3 linked regions of the Lytechinus pictus genome follow. The protein of the gene in region 1 binds, or shares a complex with, the protein of each later gene. Links are inferred from orthologs where the notes say so. Each region holds a gene or a part of one and is shown in the gene's direction. Other genes may lie near its edges. The genes, in order: armadillo repeat-containing protein 8-like, glucose-induced degradation protein 8 homolog and glucose-induced degradation protein 4 homolog.

Evidence for each region.
Region 2: the proteins of armadillo repeat-containing protein 8-like (region 1) and glucose-induced degradation protein 8 homolog are in contact, whole or in part, in a cryo-EM structure (PDB 7NSC), measured with the Homo sapiens proteins. The link is inferred for Lytechinus pictus from reciprocal best matches to the Homo sapiens genes ARMC8 and GID8. Residues at the interface, in NP_001350870.1 of Homo sapiens: Asn45, Val47, Ile48, Gly49, Asn50, Val85, Ser89, Met92, Arg127, Arg130, Arg161, Tyr162, Tyr166, Leu200, Ser201, Tyr202; in NP_060366.1 of Homo sapiens: Ile83, Ala84, Asn87, His90, Pro91, Glu92, Leu94, Asp95, Thr96, Tyr101, Tyr183, Glu184, Asn185.
Region 3: the proteins of armadillo repeat-containing protein 8-like (region 1) and glucose-induced degradation protein 4 homolog are in contact, whole or in part, in a cryo-EM structure (PDB 7NSC), measured with the Homo sapiens proteins. The link is inferred for Lytechinus pictus from reciprocal best matches to the Homo sapiens genes ARMC8 and GID4. Residues at the interface, in NP_001350870.1 of Homo sapiens: Glu309, Pro310, Asp311, Val312, Asn371, Glu373, Arg406, His409, Arg413, Ser414, Val415, Gln416, Arg419, Thr420, Gln423, Asp424, Val444, Ser448, Cys451, Asn452, Leu455, Phe457, Ala483, Val486, Asn487, Trp490, Met493, Asn494, Phe497, Gln498; in NP_076957.3 of Homo sapiens: Leu104, Ile105, Pro106, Pro107, Pro108, Pro109, Ile110, Gln114, Pro115, Gly116, Val117, Ala118, Thr119, Gly125, Gln146, His147, Tyr154, Cys156, Tyr158, Phe174, Glu176, Phe239, Val241, Pro242, His244, His292, Ser293, Ala294, Pro295, Ile296.

What each region holds. Positions count from the first base shown.
Region 1 is NC_087245.1:23,728,809-23,736,387, forward strand, and holds the start of armadillo repeat-containing protein 8-like, read left to right. Parts: upstream 1-4,510; 5' UTR 4,511-4,649; coding exon 4,650-4,652; intron 4,653-7,579. UniProt on the Homo sapiens protein: Component of the CTLH E3 ubiquitin-protein ligase complex that selectively accepts ubiquitin from UBE2H and mediates ubiquitination and subsequent proteasomal degradation of the transcription factor HBP1.
Region 2 is NC_087246.1:44,406,118-44,414,093, reverse strand, and holds the start of glucose-induced degradation protein 8 homolog, read left to right. Parts: upstream 1-4,904; 5' UTR 4,905-5,063; coding exon 5,064-5,066; intron 5,067-7,976. UniProt on the Homo sapiens protein: Core component of the CTLH E3 ubiquitin-protein ligase complex that selectively accepts ubiquitin from UBE2H and mediates ubiquitination and subsequent proteasomal degradation of the transcription factor HBP1.
Region 3 is NC_087254.1:30,551,213-30,558,727, reverse strand, and holds the start of glucose-induced degradation protein 4 homolog, read left to right. Parts: upstream 1-4,426; 5' UTR 4,427-4,583; coding exon 4,584-4,736; intron 4,737-6,079; coding exon 6,080-6,247; intron 6,248-7,118; coding exon 7,119-7,220; intron 7,221-7,515. Other genes in the region: RNA demethylase ALKBH5-like, read right to left, coding at 487-985.

The sequences.
Region 1 (7,579 bases):
ATGGAAAATAACACATGCAGCACCCCCAAATTTTGGGGGTGCTTCACCCCCAGCACCCCCGCTTCCCAGGGCCATGGGGCAGGGCGAAAAAGACTGTGAAATTTGATTTCTATTGTCTGACTTGTAATAGTTTATACAAAACATGGGCGGTCGGGCACGCGCACACTTGATTCGACATAAAACCTGGAAGTGTCATTGTGTCAAGTCCAACCACACCCTTATTATGTCCCTCCCTGCTATCGAGTAGTGCGTAAACTATGGTATATATAGCGTGCGACCACGTCTGTATCGGAATGCCGGAGCTTGATTGAGTCGCGTTATAGGATGGATGTTATTGGAATATGTGAAATGCTATTATGTAAATGATTTGCGATTGTGTCGGATGTGCTAATTATGTACATTATAACATATTTTAAAAAATACAGGGGGGAACCTGATTTCGTGGGGGTGCTGCCTATGGGAAATAATACACGCAGCACCCCCAGCACCCCCGCTTCCCAGGTCCCTGAGTAGAGTATGTACCTGTACTATTATAGAGTAGAGTAGAGTAGAGAAGAGTAGAGTTGAGTAGAGTAGAGTAGAGTATACTAGAGTAGCTAGAGTAGAGTAGAGAAGAGAAGAGTAGAGTCGGGAGTAGAGTAGAGTAGAGTAGAGTAGAGTAGAGTAGAGTAGAGTAGAGAAGAGAAGTGTAGAGTTGAGTAGAGTAGAAATAAGAGTAGAGTAGAGTTATGTAGAGTAGACTCGGGAGCCTCTCGGAGTAGAGTAGATCGAGTAGAGTAGAGTAGAGTAGAGTAGAGTAGAGAAGAGAAGAGTAGAGTCGAGTCGGGAGAAGAGTAGAGTACGTACGTAGTGTAGAGTAGAGTAGAGAAGAGTAGAGTTGAGTAGAGTTGAGTAGAGTATAGAGTGTAGTAGAGTAGAGTAGAGAAGAGTAGAGTTGAGTAGAGTGCGTATAGAGCCCGGGGGGGGGGGCACTTCCATTGACGAATGGATACCATGCGCGACCATGGGGTCTCGAAAAGCACCCTAAACACGTATTTTCCATATTCTGAAAATGCACCTCTTAACAAGTATTGGCGTCTCAAACCCTATACCCTTAAATTGGAAACAAAACGATACTCTTGGCAAGTGTTCCCTGAAATGAACCCCTAAACAAGTACAGCGATATTTTATTGTTATGTCACGGGTCCGTCGGTCGTCGGTTTTACCTTTACACAGTTTCGGCCTCACTGTCCACACCTCGCGCGAATCGGACTCTACACGTGTTGGGGCAAAAAGGACATCCTTTAATTATAAAACATTTTAATTTTGTTTTATCATTCCCGCAAATTTGACCCTAACTCCGTAGCTTCGCAAGCGAAATAGATACCCTTTTTTCATTATTTTTGTGTTTTGACACCCTTATCACGTTACGTACGTAACCAGTGGCGTAGACAGGTTCGTACACCTGGGGGGGATGACTGGGCTGCCAACGCTAGCGAGGGAGCGAAGCGACCGAGCGGGGGGAGGGTGTGGGAGGGGGGTGTCCCCCCTCCCACGGTAGGGAGCTTTTGCAATTTTGAACTTGAAATCGTGCAATCTGATGCATACTTAATGAGGTAAAATAACACACACAAGCGCGCACGCACACACACACATACTCACCCCCCCCCACACACACACACACACACACGGGTGCGCGCACCACACACATACTACGCCTTGAATGGACAGACATACATCGACAAGATCTACACACCGTGGCATACGAATACAGAATGGACTGACACAAAGTATTGCATATTGAACCACACTACGTATTTATTTATCTCTGTGAATTTTGCTGTTACACCTCTTCAGAAAAAAAAAACAATGTCAACTGTGTAAACGCAGGTATAGTCTTTGTTGATATGGGTATGTGGTTATGAATGAAAACAGCCTCTGTGGCCATTTGTGAATAGAACACATAAACAACAAACAAATAACAATATGTCTGTTCATTATAAAGCATAATGAATACGTACATACTATGCTTTTTTTACCTCAAAGAAACAGGCATAGTATCCATAGATGGATATTGGCTGGCGGCTCATTAACATACAGATACAAAAAACATAAACAGTATCACTATGATCCATGGAGTAACAATACTGCTCTGTAAGTTTGTGAAGAAATCGGAACCATAACGGCATTGCATCGTTTCAAATTAGGGCATTATTTACTTCTATTTGATCTCAGTCTTATAATAGTAATAATAATAATAATAATAATAATAATAATAATAATAATAATAATAATAATAATAATAATAATAATAATAATAATAATAATACAAATAAAAAATAATACTAATACAAATAATAATGCTAATACTAATAGGTTCCTTTTATCTCGCATTTCAAGACAGGGTAAATTCACACTGCGCTTTACATGAAACATACTTCTTTAAACATTTCAAACTTATGTCTTCATGCATCAATCAACATACTTTAGATGAATACAAAACAAAGTGCATCTTAAATAAAACAAAAATAAATAAATAGTTAACAATACAGAAAAGATGTAGCTGCTGCAAGCTTAACAACAAACTAATATATACCAGTCAGTCCTGATATCAGTATTAGTGTAACAATAGTCATATAGTGGGAGCATGAAGTTGAACAATTCATGATTATACATAATTATATATATTTGTTTGAATAATACTTGTTATAAAGATAGTAGTATGGTACTCTCTGTCACGAATTATTATGTATACTGTTGTATCACATTCATTTTCTATTCTGTTTTAGATTGCGCTGATGCATTTTGCACACAATGTATAATGCCTATAACACGAGTGGGCCAGACCACACATGTATTTCAATAAAAACCGACTTGAGAAAATAACGTGTATATAAATATATAAATAAATAAATAAATAAATGCATATAATGTATATATATATGTATAAATATCATATACCTGTAATATAATCTGATATAAACTAATAAATACATAAATAAATATAATACATATCATATATGAGAAGGTATTGCTAGTACTCGGTTCGTGCCTGAAAAGTCTCGATGAAAAGAAAAGAGTTGTTGCTTCATTCCCATACCAAAAACAGCTTGATTAACAGTTGCTAATCAGATAATAGAGACATGCGGTAAGTTGGTAAACTTACTTAAAGGAGAATGAAACCCTTGAAACCAACTGAATCCATATCAAAGAGAAAAATCAAAGAAACATATTGTTGAAAGTTTGAGGAAGATTGAATAAATAATAAGAAATTTATGAGCATTTGAATATTGAGATCACTAATGCCATCTAGATCCTCCAATTGGCAATGCGACCAAGATCTGTGATGTCACACACGTACAACTTCCTCATTACTTTAGTACTTATTTCACTTGTATTCTCACTTTTATAGAGTCTATCACAAGGTGAGGTGTTCTCTTTATGAGAGGAAAAGTATAGAGGTTTCACAACATTATATCATTGATGAATCGTTTGTCATATATGATTAGAATGAGCAAAAAGAGATGTTTTGGGGTATATTTTCAGTGTCCAAAAGGGGAGAGTTGTTCATCTGTGACATCATAGATCTTGGTCGCATTGCCAATGGAAGGATCTCCATAGCATAAGTGATCTCGACATTCAAATGCTCATAACTCTTCTATTGCTAGTCCTATTTTACTCAAACTTTTGTTGATCTTATTCTTTGATTTTTTTGCTTTCACAAAAGCTAACTTGCTCCAAAGGTTTCATTCTCCTTTAAGGAGCATTCATGGCTCAACAAACAAACATATCGGTCTCTTAGTCAGTTTTACTTTTGTAGTCTTGCAAATTTGTGTCTTAGAAACCAAATATCTTGCGCCTCTTTTCGTTCCTGCCCAGTAAATACTTGTAAGATTTTCTTTTTTTTACCGTCTGAATTGGCTTTCACCGTGTGAATGCGGCTAATAACAATAAACACAATTACAATAATGATGAGGATTATTATTATCATCATCATAATTATTATTATTATTAATATTATAATTGTTATCATTATTATTATTACTATTATTATCATCATTATGACTTATTAAGTAACCAAATATCATTCCCCAAAACCTGGGGGGGATGATTGTACATGCCATCCCCCCCACCTTGTGATGTGGGGGGGATGCATCCCCCTCATCCCCCCCGTTGTCTACGCCCCTGTACGTAACGTGCCCTATCTTGAAAAAGACATCCTTTTTACGTGTTTTTTTGGTCGCGCATGGTATCCACTCGTCAATGCATGTAAGTGGCCCCCCGGGCCGGGACGTAGAGTAAAGTAGAGTAGAGTAGAGTAGCTAGAGTAGAGTAGAGTAAAATAAAATAAATTAAAGCAAAATAGACTTGGAATATATCTGTATGTACCACCACAATCCAGTGAATGTTTTAGCAGGGAGCTTCAAGCTCCTTGATTTTAGGGTTTGATGAGGTGGGAGGTGGCCTACCATAATATTTTAAAACGGTACCGTACCGTATACCATACCGGTACGTACGTACGTACCGTACCAGTTTTCAGTCTGCTAGCTTCACGATCTTGCTGCAAACGTTAACAACTTACAGTTACACTTTCCGACACTCTGAATTATCATTTATCGTTTATTTTACAGTTGAGCTGGGCTTTTGAATTGAAAAGAAATATTGCAGCTATGGTGAGTAAGACATCAATGAAAAATAATGTAATCAAAGTGTCGATATATTTGATGCGAACAAAGATAGACTAATGACATATATTTCGGCGCTTGCTTTCGCTTTCGGACTTTTTTTGGGGGCATGACCCTCTGCCTGGTGCTGCCAGCCCCTTGAGCCGGGCCGAGCCGGCCAAGCGACCCCCGTGGCGCTTGCGGTTGAACCCGGGACAGGATTAGAAAGGGGCGCTAATGCAGTTTCGCACCGGCCGACTTTGAGCATGTTTCTCCCTAGACAGGAATAACCGTCGTTTCTGGGGATTTATTCAACAATTTCTGACATTTTACTGTAATCCCCATTTACCGACGGTAGGGTGTACGTGTGGGCTCGCATGTGTTCTCATTCCCTCCCTTTTGTCAATTCACAGTCCAAAGTTTGATGTAATTTTACACATCGAATTTACAATCTAAGGATGTATAAACAACAAACTTTTAAAACTGGATGTTTTAACATTTAAATACTTTAAACGATATAGATGAAAAAGGCATGAAAAATATACTTTACCGATGTTTAATTGGGTTGAACACGATAAAAATGGTCAAAATGGCAGCCAAACTATAAAATATTTACAAACGAACGTCAACAATCACGAATGTGATATCGATATTGCTTTCGATATTATACGATCTGCTCCATTTGCGAACGAAACCGAAGATAAACGATACTAGTTATACTAGTACTAGTACTAGTTATAATCGCGATATATCGATTCGATACATTAAGTTAATACGATAATGACGTCATTCAAGATGGCAACTTGCAAGAAAAACCGTCAGGTCAGGTGAAAATGTCTTAGATGACAGATTTCTCAATCATCCAGAGGATTTTTTTCAATAACTCTGGCCCAAGGTATGCAATTACTTAATTTATTTATTTTCCCTGATAATGGAAACCATGAAACTTTCAATTTTGTTTAAAAAACAGTTTTAAATCGCGATCTATAAAACGCTAGTTCACTATACGTTGGCTGTAGGTACGGGGCCCCATCCCCTTCAGTCTATGTATGGTGAGTGGAGCCAACGTAGTTCAGCGGAACAACCAAAATACAGAGACTGAAGCTTTTGGTCTAGTTTCTCCCTACCTCGAGCGAAGTTCGTGCAGGCTCCACTCCACTTCACTACCACTACACTACACTCCACCTACCCGAACTTCGAGACCATGAACTCGATCGGATATTCCGAGTGACAAAAGGTGGGATTTTATAAATTATGGGGAGAAAATACAAAATTCATGCAACATCACGATCTTTAAAAACAAGTACAACTAATATTCTTACTTTACACAAAGTTTCACATCTTTTCCTAGACCAAAAGCTTCAGTCTCTGTATTTTGGTTGTTCCGCTGAACTAAGTTGGCTCCACTCACCATACATAGACTGAAGGGGATGGGGCCCCGTACCTACAGCCAACGTATACATAGTGAACTAGCGTTTTATAGATCGCGATTTAAAACTGTTTTTTAAGCAAAATTGAAAGTTTCATGGTTTCCATTATCAGGGAAATATAAATAACTTAAGTAATTGCATACCTTGGGCCGGAGTTATTGAAAAAAATCCTCTGGATGATTGAGAAATCTGTCATCTAAGACATTTTCACCTGACCTGACGGTTTTTCTTGCAAGTTGCCACCTTGAATGACGTCATTATCGTATTAACTTAATGTCTCGAATCGATATATCGCGATTATAACTAGCAGTAGAGGCGCACGGCCAATATTGGAGACTGTCTCCAATGTGGGAGATTATCTCCAATATCAGGGACTTTTGTAAAGAATTTAGGTATCCAATTTCAGAGACAGTCTCCAGTTTTGGGGTCCAATTTCCTTTGTTTACATTTGCTGCAAAAGGATTAACTTGGCGGCAAATAAAAATGTGATAAGCAGATTCCTCATGAAAAATTACCCCTTTTCACCGTCTACTTTAAAAATTCACCGTCTACTTTTGTTTTGATAAGGATTTTTGTTGTCAATCACACACAAAACAAATGGGCTTCTGACCTCAGTGAGACAAAATTTTGGGTGGAAAAAATCATGCTTTTGTTGGTGTTGTTTCTTTTGTCCTTTTGCAAAGCAAGTCTCCAATGTGGGAGATTGTCTCCCCTATTGGAGAGAGTCTTCCATATTGGCCATGCGCCTCTACTGACTAGTACTAGTACTAGTATAACTAGTATCGTTTATCTTCGGTTTCGTTCGCATATGGAGCAGATCGTATAATATCGAAAGCAATATCGATATCACAATCGTGATTGTTGACGTTTCGTTTGTAAATATTTTATAGTTTGGCTGCCATTTTGACCATTTTTATCGTGTTCAACCCAATTAAACATCGGTAAAGTATAATTTTCATGCCTTTTTCATCTATATCGTTTAAAGTATTTAAATATTGGAATATCAAGTTTTAAAAGTTTGTTGTTTATACATCCTTAGATTGTAAATTCGATGTGTAAAATTACATCAAACTTTGGACTGTGAATTGACAAAAGGGAGGGAATGAGAACACATGCGAGCCCACACGTACACCCTACCGTCGGTAAATGGGGATTACAGTAAAATGTCAGAAATTGTTGAATAAATCCCCAGAAACGACGGTTATTCCTGTCTAATCTTTTCCATGCTTCTATCAGTCTCAAAATTGATGATTTAGAGCCAACATGAAGTTCCTCACACGTAATAATTCGCTGCCGATTTCAGAACATCGCATGCGCGCGAGGGTCCGAGCTCGGACCAGACCCGGTACCTCCCGCATTCGATGTTTCGAAGTCGGCAGCGCATTAATATTTATACGTGGTGATGGAGAGTAAATAAATAATGACATTTTCATGCGGGAGGTTTTGGAGCATGCGGGCGGTGGACGCAAATCTAAAACTTTCATTCTCTTGGCCTAATATAATAAC
Region 2 (7,976 bases), on another chromosome or scaffold:
TTACACTTAATTTCTGGTTGGGCTCAAATAATTTTTAGATTATGATAAAGCTGAAGATCTAAGCTTTAATATGATATAATTTTTATAAGAAGAGGTATCTTAGATGGGTCAGCAGCCATGCAGCTTTTCATAGGCCAAGTACATTTAGCAGTTTAAAAACCAGAATACTGCGCTCTTATTGGTCATAGAGACCACACACCCACGCAAATTCCAATGTTCCCGCACTGGGCCTCAGCAAGGTCACACTCACCATATGGTAATCTCTTCAAATTACCCGCGCCTGTTGTTTTGAAAACATTATTCAACCCGAATCAGAACTCTGCGTGGATTTTATGCTACTCAGAAATTTCAGAAATCTCGTCTAGTTGCATTTTGTTGGAAAAAGCTGATGGCTGCTGACACATCTAAAATTAAGGTGCCACCTATCAAGAGTCACATAGTAAGAAAGTAAAGAGTTTTTATAGAGATATAAATAATGTTTGTGCCTAAAACACAAAATTTTGCACAATTTGCAAGAGAAAAGAGAGGAAAACAAATCCGTTTGAGGCATCTATTCATGCCTAAAACTCACTTATTTATCAAAATATTTTATTCAAAAGAAATGATCAGTATAAAAGAGTAACGTTTACTCTTTCATATGGTACAAAAATAATCAATTTTACTCAAAGAAAAAGTGGTTAAACTCTTTGAGGAACAAAGTCTCACAATTCACGAGATTTTGCAGGGACATGAATTCAACCACGAGAGGACTTGGATAAATCTTGCTCATTTGCTCATTAACAGAGGGGCTTGCAGACTGACTGTAGTCCTATATATATATATATATATATATATATATATATATATATATATATATATATATATATATATATATATATATATATATATATATATATATATATATATATATATATATATATATATATATATACATATATATATATATATATATATACATATATATATATATATATATATATACAGTGCGTCCCACAAAAAACGAAACCGAGATTTAGCGATGATTTATCATAACTTAATCATAAATACAATAGACAAATGGCCTACCAATGTAAAGCTTAGAATCTCCTCTTTTACCTGAAATTACTTAGATTATTCCTCATTCACACATGCATGGGTGTCGATCGGTATTCTTGGTTGGGGGGGATGATTGACACAAAAGTTCTTGTGGATGGAGATCTTTCAACATTACCCCACTAAAATCACAAGTTAGGACATTTGGGAGTGATTGATATGCATGGTGTTCTTGTAAATTCCTTCATTGTTATAGTGTACTTATATTTATTTTTTGAAAATTCAATTTGTGTTACAAGTAAGCCTATTCTAAACTCATACGAAAGAAAAAATGACAAATTGTCTGGACCATGTTCATAGTTTATTGAGCATGATGTATACACAGGGGCGTCGATCCATTTTTCAGATGGGGGGGGGGGGCAAAATCATGAATCAACATTCAACATGCGACGCGAAGCGCGAGCTGAAATTTTTTAGTATGACATGAAAACAGGAAAAATGTACCTGTTTAGGTTTGTTTGTAGTAACTCATGAGGAGCATAGATACATGTATCTCACTAGAGAGCGAGCTCAAATTTCTTTATTTCTGACGTGAAAGCTTGATATTCTAAGCATTTTTGGTACCAATTATTAAGATGGGTATCTAGAAGAACAATAGATGCGAGCGCAAAGCGCCAGCTGAAAATGTTGATATTTCGATCTGGAAAAAAGACAGTTTAATGGACGCTTTTAATAAAGAACAAGATATATATCCAACAAAAGATTATTGCAAATCGAAGCGGGTGTTCTTTTGAGGTATAGAACTGAAAAAGGGACATTCTATTCACCTATTTAATCATGAAAAGTATGGGGTTTTGGTACAGAAATGATGCGAGCGCGAAGCGCGAGCTGAAATTTTTTATATTCCAATCTGAAAAGCAGACATTTTGAGCACGATTTTAAATCAAAATCGAGTTGGTATCTCAATCTCGCTTGCTGGTTTCAGTGTAGCATTACAATCTTATTTTATTTTTAGTTGCACATGCGGAATTATTGGGAGGGGGGGCAAAACGATATGTTCCCCCAAATATTTTCATTGGCGGGGCGATCGCCCCCCCCTGCCCCCCCCCCCGATCGACGCCTTTGTGTATACAACTTCTCTCTTAAATCTAACCCGACTGGCAATATCTTTTTTCTTAATGCATGATGATAACATGCAGATTCGGACCAATTAAGACTAGCACAAATTACAAACTGTGTGGCTTCTCGTGCGCCATCGGGCTTACCGTCATTCCATAGAGCTATTACTGTAATATCTATATGGTCATTCCTTAGACGATTTATCTTGCCACCCTTTTACTCCCGTTTATTGTTCCACCCTTTTGAATTAATTAATGTATTAAAATTAATTTATTCACCATTGGTGGGATGGAACACCAAAAGTCTTTTTTCGTTGGGGTCCTTTTATGTTATGTGTTAAAAAATTTCATATACATAAACATTTCATTCTTTTTCATCTTGAACCTCCACCCATCTGTTTAATAGTCCTGAAAAAGAATGTTTTTATTTAATAACAATATACACAAATTGTGAGAGAAACAAACTGATTGATGGCATACTATAATCATCACTATAATCATCATGATCAAACTTTTCATTTTTTCATCATCATTATTATAATTTTTCTACCCTAAATTATTGGGGGGGATGATAATACAGGCCACCCCCCCCCACTTGAAATATTGGGGGGGATATATCCCCCACCCCCCCCCGTGATCGACACCCATGCACACATGAGTGAGCAAAAACAACTTGAAGAAAGGATACCAAAAACTCATTTGGCGGGGGTATCTGAATTTCAAAAAGAAAATCACATGCCTAAAAGTTCAATATCTGCTCTTTTATTTAAAGGACAAGTCCACCCCAATAAAAAGTTGATTTGAATAAAAAGAGAAAAATCCAACAAGCATAACACTGAAAATTTAATCAAAATCGGATGTAAAATAAGGAAGTTATGACATTTGAAAGTTTCGCTGAATTTCACAAAACAGTTATATGAGGAGACTATGACGTCATCCACTCACTATTTCTTTTGTATTTCATTATGTCAAATATGAAATATTCTAATTTTCTCCTCATTGGCAAGTGATACAACGATTAATTCTTTGAACATGTGGCATATTAGCATTGTTTAATACTAAATGTTTCAGTCAAGTTGGTCCTTATTGTCAAATCTCAAAAAAATGAAATATTGTATAATTCAAACAATAAAAAAACAAAAGAAATAGTGAGTGATGGACATCATCGACTGACTCACCTAGTTGTGCATATCACTGTTTTGTGAAAAATAAGCGAAACTTTGTAATGTCATAACTTTCTTATCTTACATCCGATTTTGATGAAATTTTCAGCACTATGCTAGTTGGATTTTTCTCTATTTTTTTAAGTCAGCATTTTCCTGGGGTGGACTTGACCTGTATTTCCATAATTTTATTTAAATAAACATGTTTTCACCGGTTTCCTACAGAAGCTATCTCACGGTTAACAAAAGGCTGATCGTCAACAAGAGTCTGGACGCTATAGCCTGTAAGTCAAATTATGAAATTGTTGAAATTCAAATATCCAGAACTTTGTTATTTCTTGACCATTTTCTGTAATTGAGGTATTAAATTAAAGAGCAGATATTGAACTTTTTAAAGATGTGATTTACTTTTTGAAACCTAGAAACAGCCCGCCAAGTTACTTTTTGGTATCCTCTCTTCAATTTGTTTTTGCTCACTCATGCGTGAATGAGAAATAATCCAAGTAATTTCAGATGAAAGAGGAGATTCTAAGCTTTACAATGGTAGACCATTTGTCTAATTTATTTGTGATTAAGTTATGATAAATCATCGATAAATCTCGCTTTCGTTTTTTCTGGGATGCACTGTATACTATAAACATGTATATCGGATGTATATATAAATGTGTGAGGTTTATATGTACAACAACTTTGGCAACTCTTTTATTTAAATATTGTGTAAAAGAAATGGATGAGGAGAGCAATGGTAGACGTAGCTTATCTCAAGGTTCCCCAGAGCTATCTGGGACCCGGGTTCGATTCCCGGCAGAGACATTTTTTCGTCATCACCAATTTTTCCAAAGGCCAGCTCTGGGGAACCTTGATTTAAGCTACGTCTACCATTGTTCTCCTCATCCATTTCTTTCACACTATATATATATATATATATATATATCGGGCAGATTTTTTTTTTAATGTTCGAGCGAGCAAAGCGAGCAAGCAAAAAATTGACATTTTTATTACAGAAATCAAATTTTATGACAGATTTTTACAATATGAACAGTAATCTCATAAAATTCATGAAACCTCAAAGCGCGAGCAGAAATTTTTCCTATTTTTTCCATTTCTTACCCCCTTATTTTACTCCATTTTCTTCCTCCTTTTCACTTTCGCCTTCCCCCCCCCCTCCTCATTTCTTCTTTTTTCTTTTTCTTCCCATCTTTGAGCCGCACCGCCGGCCGCGCACAGGCATCCATGCATGGGGCCATTGGCGGCGGAAGCCAAACAATTTAGAGGGGGACCACCCAAATTTTTTGACAAGCAAAAAAAAAGGTTATCAACCAAAATTTTAGGGGGGACCACGCAGGAAACAAAATTGACAAGCAAAAAAAAAAAAAAAAAAAAAAAGGTTATCAAATATTAATTTAGGGGGGGGGAGCGTCCCCCACCTCAAATTTAGGGGGGACAGGTCCCCCCGTCCCCCCCCCCGCTTCCGCCGCCTATGCATGGGGCGCGGGCCGGGGGCCGGGGGGGGGGGGGTGCGTTATTCAGATAAAAATTGTGCAGTTCGCCAGCGCAGCGCAGCTGCAGCTGGTACATGGTACTTGGTGCCGGTGATCGATAATCATCAGCTGAAAGAGAACGTCAATCAAAGACGTTTCGCACAAAGGCAAGCATCAAAATAAACTGCCGAGATTTCTAAATTACATATTTTAATAAAGCAGAGGTAGAAAATATTCGGAAGCCAAATATATACTTCAACTGCGAAATCATGGTATGTATAGAACACATTATTTGACTGATTTTCACAGTATACCTGCGATTCTCACTCACTAATCTCAGAATTAAGCCAAGGCTATGTCTGTTCAGTCCCATACGGATGAAATTTTGATGTATGAACTATGATAGTGGTCCCCAAGCCTGGGAAACCTAACGATTTGAGTTAAGATTTAACATGAATTTCTTTTTATTTCACAAAACATTTCAGTAGATAATGTTCCTTACATCAATTAGAGTTAGTGTGCCAAATATCTTATAAAAATTTGAAAGAAATATATGATTTACTTGGAAAAAACCTCAGCTCAGGCCACCATTTTCACTTTACTTTAGTTTCAGATTGAACAAAAAAAGGTGCCCCATGTCTGCGCACCTAGCCTGGAGGCGTCTGGGGAGTGAAAGTACCGTAAGGGCACTAGTATTCAACCCGTTTGGAGAGTTTCCTCAAATTTATAGAAATATAGAATTTACCTGAATTTCAGACCCGTCTTATTTCCAAGAGCAAATGCTGGTTATTCTTTTTCCGTTATTTTTTTCTTCAACAAGTTGACTGTGTGCGCGGGCGATCGAATTATACGGCGACGGATTTTGGTACTAGTATTCAACCCGTCGGCACTAGTATTCAACCTAGCGATGAAAGATGGCCCTGTCTCTCAATCTGCTCTTGTCCCATCCGACTATGGACTAGACCATTTGAGATGAGACCAAACAGGGAATTAATCAAAGCCAGAGACTTACATAGATCTAGATCTAATTTAGCAATCTAAACCCTTTTGAGATTTGCTATCAATCCTCACTAGGTTGAATACTAGTACCATTCAGTGCAAAAGGCCATCGCCGCATAATTCGATCCTCCGCGCATACAGTCGACAGATTGACAAAGAAAATATCGACAACAGATTACCCTGGAAATAACAAAGGTATGAAATTAAGATAAATTCCCTATTTCTAAATATTTTGGGGAATATGTCAAAATCTTTGAATTATGCCGGGTTGAATACTAGTACCCATACGGTAATATACTCTACGACTACGTATGGTCACTCCCCGAACGCCTGGCGTTTGTACATATAGGCTCCTACACACCGAAGAAAAATGCAACTATAAAAATGCGCCAAACTGCTAGTTATGTTTAGAATCTGAAGTTAAAACTTTTGTAAATGGGTAAAAATATTGGTTGGCAACGTTTGGCAAAAAATGGATAGTTATGGTTACAAAATGACATAAAGTAATAAAAGTAGAAGAGAGTTTACTTACACTTGTTGACATCGCCATCTTTGATCCTTTGTTAATGCAACCTAGTTACGTGACGCGTATAGAGGGCGGCAAAATCATGAGCGGTGCTAGATTAAAAAGTGCTAAAATGTCCCGCTTCAACCACTGAACTAGAAATACATAGAGAAAACATATCTTTCAATTGCCTTTTACGGCGCGTTCTCGAACAATTGACCTAGCAAAATGGCGGCGGTCACGTGACTTATCGAGTTCGCCGGCGATGTTTTGCTTGGGTGAACATGACTTCCACGTATTTCTAGTTCAGTGGTTGAAGCGGGACATTTTAGCACTTTTTAATCTAGCACCGCTCATGATTTTGCCGCCCTCTATACGCGTCACGTAACTAGGTTGCATTAACAAAGGATCAAAGATGGCGATGTCAACAAGTGTAAGTAAACTCTCTTCTACTTTTATTACTTCATGTCATTTTGGCGTCATTTTGTAACCATAACTATCCATTTTTTGCCAAACGTTGCCAACCAATATTTTTACCCATTTACAGAAGTTTTAACTTCAGATTCTAAACATAACTAGCAGTTTGGCGCATTTTTATAGTTGCATTTTTCTTCGGTGTGTGGGAGCCTATATGTACAAACGCCAGGCGTTCGGGAAGTGACCATACGTAGAGTATATTACTTTCACTCCCCAGACGCCTCCAGGCTATGCGCACCCATTCACTTTGCACGCGATTCAGGGATTTTTATGAAAAAGGCTGCATTTTGAGGCCTTCACAAGAAGTAATTGGCATGCCATAGTCCAACCTGTAGATTCCCCACAGGCAGGGTGGTTGCAGTGAACAAGTGGGATGAGTGTGTATTGCATGCCATGTGTAAAGTTTGTGTTCATTGCGTATCTTCTTCACGGAGAAACGCGTGTGCACAGACAAGGGAGACTGCGCAGACTTGTCTTAGGGGAACTTTTACTTGCCATATGTCTACGGTAACGTTCTTAAGTTAGAATCTAGACCACAAAATTCAGAAAGCTCTTAATTTGTCATAAAATAAATCTTCAAAGTTCAAGTCCTAAAACAAAAGTAACAGAAGAAAAAGTACTTAAAAGTTACAGGTTTTCCCTAGATCTATTTAAACTTCTGAAAAGATCTATATAAACTTCTGAGAAAGTAGCAAAACAAATAAGATTGTATTCACAAAAATTAGAACTTCTAATTGAAGTTCTATCATGCCTCACTGTACACTCATTACTGTAGCATAGGCTAGTGGCCCAAAATAGGCTTTAATTATCCTGGATCTGGCTGGTTGATGTACAAATGCCTGGTGTGGCTATCTCGTACAATTATGGCAACAGTGCATAAAGTCGGATGTGTACTTGATTTATTTGGATCTTTTAACTCTTTGCCCGCCACGGACGACTCGTGGCACATACAGCGGACTGCCAACGACGACTCAAGTCACAGTTCGCACACAATGCATACGGAACGCATTTAATTGTAATTGTGTGCACACACATACAGTAGCGACGCGTGTATTGCATTGTTTACGAATCTAGCTTTCGTGTTATAGCTTTCGCCGACTTTGTTTACATAGAGATTTTTCGCGTAAAATTGAGTTTTTTGAACTGCTTTAGGATATATTTCGATGAGCTTTCAATAGCTTGCACTGCTTTCCTTGTAATA
Region 3 (7,515 bases), on another chromosome or scaffold:
GCAATGCGTTATGGGATCGAAAAGGGGGCAATCAAGCTAGCTCTGTGCACTACGGACAGTCCGCGTGCACAGAGCTAGCTAACGGCCCCCTTTTCGATCCCATGATGCATTGCAGTTCTGATTAGCCAAAAAACATTATTTCCTGATTTTAGATATTGCAGGAGTGTTCAGACTGATTTGTCTATAATTAATTCTATTTCCATCCAGCAACAGACTATGCAGAATTGTAGATGCAGCAAAGTTGGTATAAAAAAACTAGAGGTCTAAGTCTAAGATTCTTGGCTTAAAAAGTTGACAATTGACTTATTTATTGTGTGCAGCAGTACCGGTATCGACTAGGGCAGGCCCTACGGCCTTTTAATTTATTTTTTTATTTAATTTTTTGCCATTATTAAACTTTAAAGAAATTCATTTTTTATCATCATGATCATGATACCTGTCAACATGTTCATTATCAAATTTCAAACAAAATCTAAGCATGCGCACCATGAGGAATCAATCCTGCTTCAACAACCCTGCTGATGACAAGCTCCTCGACCCACTGCGGTATGTCATCCACTTCACCTCGCGGGTACAGTCGTTCCTGTCCCGGTCCCTTCTTGGTCAGCTGCGAGCCGTAAGTGTAGCCCTCTCCAAAAAAGTACTTGTTGCGAAGGGGAGCTCGATCGACTGTATGATCTCGGTAGAGTCCCTTTGCGGCGATGTCCACGACCTCGTTGATTTTATCCTCGATCTCGCTGCATTCTTCTTCAGTGAAAAGTTGAATCTGAGACACACCGGAGTGAATCTTCTTCACTTCCTCCATTTCATCTTCGAATGATTTCGACTGCCACTGATGGTAGCGGTCACGTCGTCGTCTCTTTCGCCGCGATGTAAATGTAAAATCGGAGTCATCGCTGCTTGGCAGTCGACGATTCTGCTTGTGGTGACTCCGACGATGATGAGAGTCGAGCTTGAAACGTAAATCTGTCGACCCTGAAGCCATTCTCGTAAGATCTTTCACTCCGAACTGAGTTATGCCTTGTCAGAAATGTCAACATACCGTACCCTCGCGCGTGTACCGTAATTTCTGCGTGCATAGCTATGTACGTACGTACGATCGATCGACGAGATGATGTACTGAAATAACTGACTATAATTTCAGGAAATTTGATATTACTGATTTAATGATGCATGTTGAAATAAAAATATAATCACTTTAATAAAATAAATTTTACTTGAAAAATGACATTGATGTTAATATTTGTACATTAATATTGAAGAATAATTTAAATATTTTCTTAAATAAAAAATGAGCCTAAATTATATTCATGTAAGCATTTACAACTGATACTTATTCAAGATAGGCAACCTCAGCCGTAATATTTATAGTTAAAACTATTCGCTATTTTCAACGTCGGAATCGAATTCGGCCAAAATAAAACCAACCAGCCAAACTTGAATTCATCGTTCAGTGACTTGAACTTCGCTTGGGGCCGGGAGGGGGGGGGGGGGGGAGCCAGGGCAGAAATAAAATCCCATTCGATTACCCTACTTAGGGAATAATAGGGGGAGTGTGGGGCCACGACGTGTTCGAGTGGTTGCAACTCTCGTCTCTCAATCGGTGGGACGTGGGTTCGATGGCCAGCATTGCGTGTCGTGTTTTCCTATTTCTTCCTTTCACAAAAACATTCATACATAATTATGGTAGTTAAAAAAAACACGATAATAAAATAAAAAGCAAGTTAAAAGAAATAGATTGTCAGCGCTAAACATACATTGAGGTTGTTACATAACTCATATAATTTACATTACAGAGTAGGATTCTGGAGACAAAAGTTACAAAGCCTTTCTACCGTAGGCTTGTCAAGACAAGGTCTCCAATACTATAGATATTTAATATATTCAATTCAATTCAAGACTTTAATCCAGACACAGCTGCATATGCAGAGGTCCATATCATCAAATAACATACATGTAATATACATCAAGACAAACATACAAAGGTAATACTGGAATTAACAAAGAACAAATAAAGTATAAACAATCGAAAAGGAGAAAAACAAATCACAGATAATAATATAGGAACAAACAATGAATACCTAAAACAAGTGGTTAAGCAGTAAGTGAATAGTACAATGGAAATATTTACTTTGAATAAGACTACACATCTAAATCTACATATGGAAAGAAAAGAAAAGAAGGAAATACAGAGAGAAATTATCAAAAGAAGGAATGAGTATATATATGAATTTATATACAGAATGAAAAAGACATAAGGAAAGATAAGAGAGGGGTTATGAAATCAGGAGAAAGGGTTTATATAAGGCTGCGTTTATCCGACCTCAAGCCAGAATCGTGATTTGAATCATGATTGGAATCATGATTCAAATCACAAACATGAATCACAATTACTACAGAATCAGGGTTTAGACGACCTTCGTTCCAACGCTGTTTCTCCTCGGATTCGGACCGATCCAGTGCGCATCACAGTGCGCAGTTTGACCCAGGAAGTATAGGTCAACGTTGGACACTTAATTGGAGGTCGGCGACGTACATGTGATGTGACAACGTGGGGCGCGCGCCTTGGCAAGAACCGGAAATAGCTCGACACAATGACGTCATATAATCATGATTCAAATCACGATATCGTTTATCCGAACATTTTCGTACGTGATTCTGCAGAAACGTCTTTCCAAACGCCCTTTTTTTCGTAGTTCATGTTTGTGATTCTAATCATGATTATATTCAATTTCGACTAAACGCAATCGTGATTCTGCAGAATCGTGATTTGAATCATGATTGGAATCATGATTATAGGGTAAAAAAGTGGCGGATAAACGCACCCTAATAGGGAGAAAAGTCGTTGAGACGACAAAGAGAGATCGAGAGAGAGAGAGAGTTATATAGGGGAGGTGTAAGAAGTTGATAAGATAAACGCCAAAAGAGGAGAGGAAAAAAGAGGTGTACAACAAAAATCAAAGGACTATAATAAATAATCTATTTACACCGTATTTTAAAGAATTTCAGCATAACCTTTCAGCAAATGGAATTTCAGCTTATAATTATGTTTAAAGACCGACACACAATGACAGAATGAGTGTAACGGATAATGTATTCAGAGCTGACTGCAATTCTTACCCTTGGTATATGAAGAGCAGCTGCTTGTCCTTGTGTTATGATTATGAATTTGACCGTTTTTAATGGATAGTTGAGCCAATTCATTTGGAAGAGTACCATTTTCAAAATCATATATGACTGAATCTATAGCTGCAAAAGATAGATATCCTCTATCTTCAATATTACTGTGAAACAAAACATTAGTATGAGCACGATAACTAGCGAATTGCCGTTTTCTGTGCGATAAGTATCTTTTCTAATTTCAGCAATATTGTGCTGCATGCACTCGATCAACCCAGGGGAGGTGGGTGCAGGAAGGCCCTGATGAGGGCGCTGCAGGGGGTGCTGAAGCACCCCCAAGATTTTCCCCGGGGGTGCTGCGTTATTATTTTTCATAGACAGCACCCCCTTGCAAACGTGTGTATAAAATTTGAGAAATGTATGGAAAATTACCAAAATTTTGCGTTGAACCAAAGTTTTGCGACCCTTTTTTGCTTATCGAATTTCCTGGGACCAAACGGCCTTCAATTTGGAGGGGAAACCCTTTTTTTGGCTTGTATTTATTTTTTCAATTTAAAATGTCATTCAGCATCCCAACTCAAAATCGTTCCCAGGGCCCTGATGGTATACCCAGCAGGATTAATTCCTTAAAATGCACACAGCGCTGGGGTAATAACAATGCGCATCGGATATAGATTATAATAGATGGCGCAAATATATATATCAGTTTGCTGATTAGAAGGGACACTTTAAGGACTGATTTTAGGAATTCATGGAGAGCAGACATATCTCATCTCACCAATCCACAATGCGAACGTAATCACGGACAGGAAAATATATGAAGACCTTAACATGGGGAAACCACTTTTTGAGTCATGAAAAAGAAGCATATGTCACTACATAAACAATGATAACTGGAAGTGCTAGGAAATATATTTGGTTTATATTGACTTAGTGAAAACGGGAGGTTTTACATGATTATATATCTCGTTAAACAGAAAATGCGAGCACCAGGAACAATGAAGACATAGGCCCTGAGCAAATTATGTTTCATAAAGTTATGATGAAAACGTTTCTTATGTAATGTAACATAACATAATTATAATATACCAAATATAACATTATAATGAATAATATTTTCTTCTTTCCCAAGTACGTTTCTCTTCCTTTCTCCCTCTTTTCTCCTAAACATAACCCTACTACGGGCCAACCTAGTACAACTTGGACGAAAATAAGCCCAGAGCAATTATTGTCGCAAGAGCAAATGTCATATCATCGTTTATAGTAGAGTGCCCCCGCCCACCCCCCCCCTCCGATTTCCATAAAACGTTGACGTCTCAATAACGTTAACTGGATGGGTCGATAACACGGCGTGCGCGTGCGGGCGCGGCGCGAGATATTTTAGGACGATTGTACACGAGTCCCATATGCGACTGGATCGTATGTGAGCCGTCGTTCACTTTAATTTAACGTTCCTAAATTCAATGAAAATGCCTGGTGTTGTCGACGTTTATCCTCCACCGCCCCAAAACTGTTGCCAGCCAGGAGTTGCTCGATCTTTGCTTTATAGTGGTTCAAGGTTTCAAGGGCATCAGAAGAGCAAAGGCAATCGTTACGACGTGGAAGTCGAGTTGCAAGTGAGTAGATCTGCTGAGCTTGGGGAAATACCGGGAAGAGGACTTGTCCCTGCCCCAGAGACCCCGGCGTAGCGTGAAAGAAGGATACGGTGGCTAGCATAATGCCGGTGCCTGTGAATTGTGTGCATGTGATGGGGAAACCTTAATTTGTGCACATTTTCAAAATATCATGATATCTGAATTAAAGGCCCTATCATACTGGCACTGAGATTGAGATCAATTACACAAAGTGACAAACATAGTTTTATTATTTAAATAATTTTCAAAGGACAAGTCCACCCCAGAAAACTTGATTGGAAATTGAATGAAATGAATATTGAAATAGGGCCTAGGTCTAATTGAGCCAGGGCCCAGGCATAGTCAAATGTTAGACTCTAGTCTAGAGATCTAACGTTAACTATAGAAATAACAATTATTTTTTTTCTAAGAAAGTAATGTTAGAGGCTAGACTCTTGTTATTCCTCGTGCTAAAAATCATCAAATTCTGATAAAACTAAAAGAAGAAAGTTACAAAGTTTTATTAAAAAGTTAGCATTATTTCAAAGAACAATTTATGCAAAAAGCCAAAATGCTGGTCAGTATGTAAACAAGGGTTTTGGTGGTGTCACCCACTTATATTTATTTTGTATTTAATTTATTTATTTGACTATTAAAAAAGGTTTGTTACATGAATTATCAAATTAATCCCTCATAATGTGAAACATGGTTTGATTTTCCCTGAAAATTTCAAATTGCCTTTAAGTTGAATGTCATATTTGCAACTATTGAAATATTCTATGTTTCATAAAGAATAGTAAAAATACAAATAAATAGTGAGTCAGTGAGTGACATTGCCGACTCTTATGTTGTGTTTGTAGATCCTTAATCTGCATTCCTAAAATGGATCTTTAGATTATTATTATACATGAATTTCTTTGTAATTCCACAAAGTTTCCATCTGAATTTGAGCAAAATATATGAATTTCTTATGAAAAAAATTACCCGTAAATTAAAAAAAAAAAAAACCATCCCCCAAAAAATCAAAACCAAAATAAAACCAACGGTGCCCCATGCCTGCACACCAATTCTTTTTTCATATGTATCAGGGTTTTTTTTAATGTTCAGATGTGTAGCTTAAGTGGTGCAGCAAGTGATTTAACCCATGTGCTGAATTGAATCCAGGAAACATGATTGATACCACCTATTCACATGGATGTAAAATGCAATGGCCTCCTGAGTGGAGAAAAAAGGCTATGTAAATAAATCAATGCCATGAAACTTAATTTGGTTTGAGTTCATATAATGAAAAACAATTTTCTTTTCTAAACAAGCTTCATTCTTTGACAATTTCCTCACTGATACAGCATGTTGATGAAGAGAACAGCTACCTGTGTGGGTACTTGAAGATCAAAGGCCTGACTGATGAGTTTCCTGTTCTAGTAACTTTCTTTGAAGGGGAGATCATAGGGGAGAAATATCCATTTCTTACAAGAAAATGGGATGCAGATGAAGAAGTTGACAAGAAACATTGGGTAAATGAGACATGTAGTTTCACACTTAAATAATCCAGGAACAAAAATGTGGTTATCTGATCTGTATTATCTTCCATAGTTCCAAGCACTTTGGTAAATTCCTAGATGGAAAACTCCTATAAGTACCCTATAAGATGAAAAATACAAAAAGCAGGACATGGTTCAAAATAATCTACGAATTGATAGATATCACCTCATATCTTGAAAGTTTGAGCCCAAAGAAGGTCTTGCTCTGCTTCCTATTCAAACACTCTGTTTGCCTAGACAGTCATTTGCCTTAGTGCTGAGTAGAAATGTACTTTATGTTTTTTTTTTAAACTATGGAACATGTACTAAAATATCCTAGTAAGAATAAACTCTTCTATTTCCATATATTATGGCAAGTCCCATTTTTAAAAGGGCATTTGTTGGTATTACAATGCAAATGGGTGAATAATATAATGAGGACACAAAAAAATATATATATCCAAGGCCAGTGTGAAAGAGGCCATCCTATGGAAACTGAATGTCAGTAATGAAAATTTTATCTTTCAGACAGATAATGTGGCAAGAAGAGTGTTATTCTTCTTTATGAAATGAAAATGGAGGGGGGGGGGGTAATTAGCATTTTTATCATTGACCTTTTATCAAATATTGATCCTTCTTTTTATATGATTTGTAGTATACAGTAAATGGAATATGATTTCTATTTCTTAGTACATGTAGGTTATGGAATTGGTCTATGTTCCATTTCTGTAACTTTCTGGGGGTTTTATGTACCTGTTTAAAGATGTCATAATAATTTGTATTGATGACAGCTAGCCTTGCTAATTGTTGATCTGTATACAGTTATTCTCTTTGCAATCTGCTGTTTTTTATATTGTAATTGCAGGGTCAGTTTTTATCATTTTACCAATACACCAAGACTTTCAATCAAGACAACTTCAACTATGATGCCCTGAAAAACACAGATTATGTCTTCATGAGGTGGAAAGTATGTACTTAGATTTAGTTTAACTTCTTCGTTTTATTATGTTGTGATTTAGGCAGGCTGTTAGTAAATAATATGTATCGTATAAATTATAGGCCTATCTATCAGGAATAATTCAAATTTATTGATATTTCAGTGAATAATGACACACTGAAGCTCATCAATATTTGCCAAAGGAATAAAGCAAAATATATAATTTCCATATCTTTTCTATATCTGTATTGTTTTTAAATCCGGTTTAGTCCCCGACTACAGGGGTGGCTGAGCTAGTAGTTATATCATCTTTGCATGCTCGGGA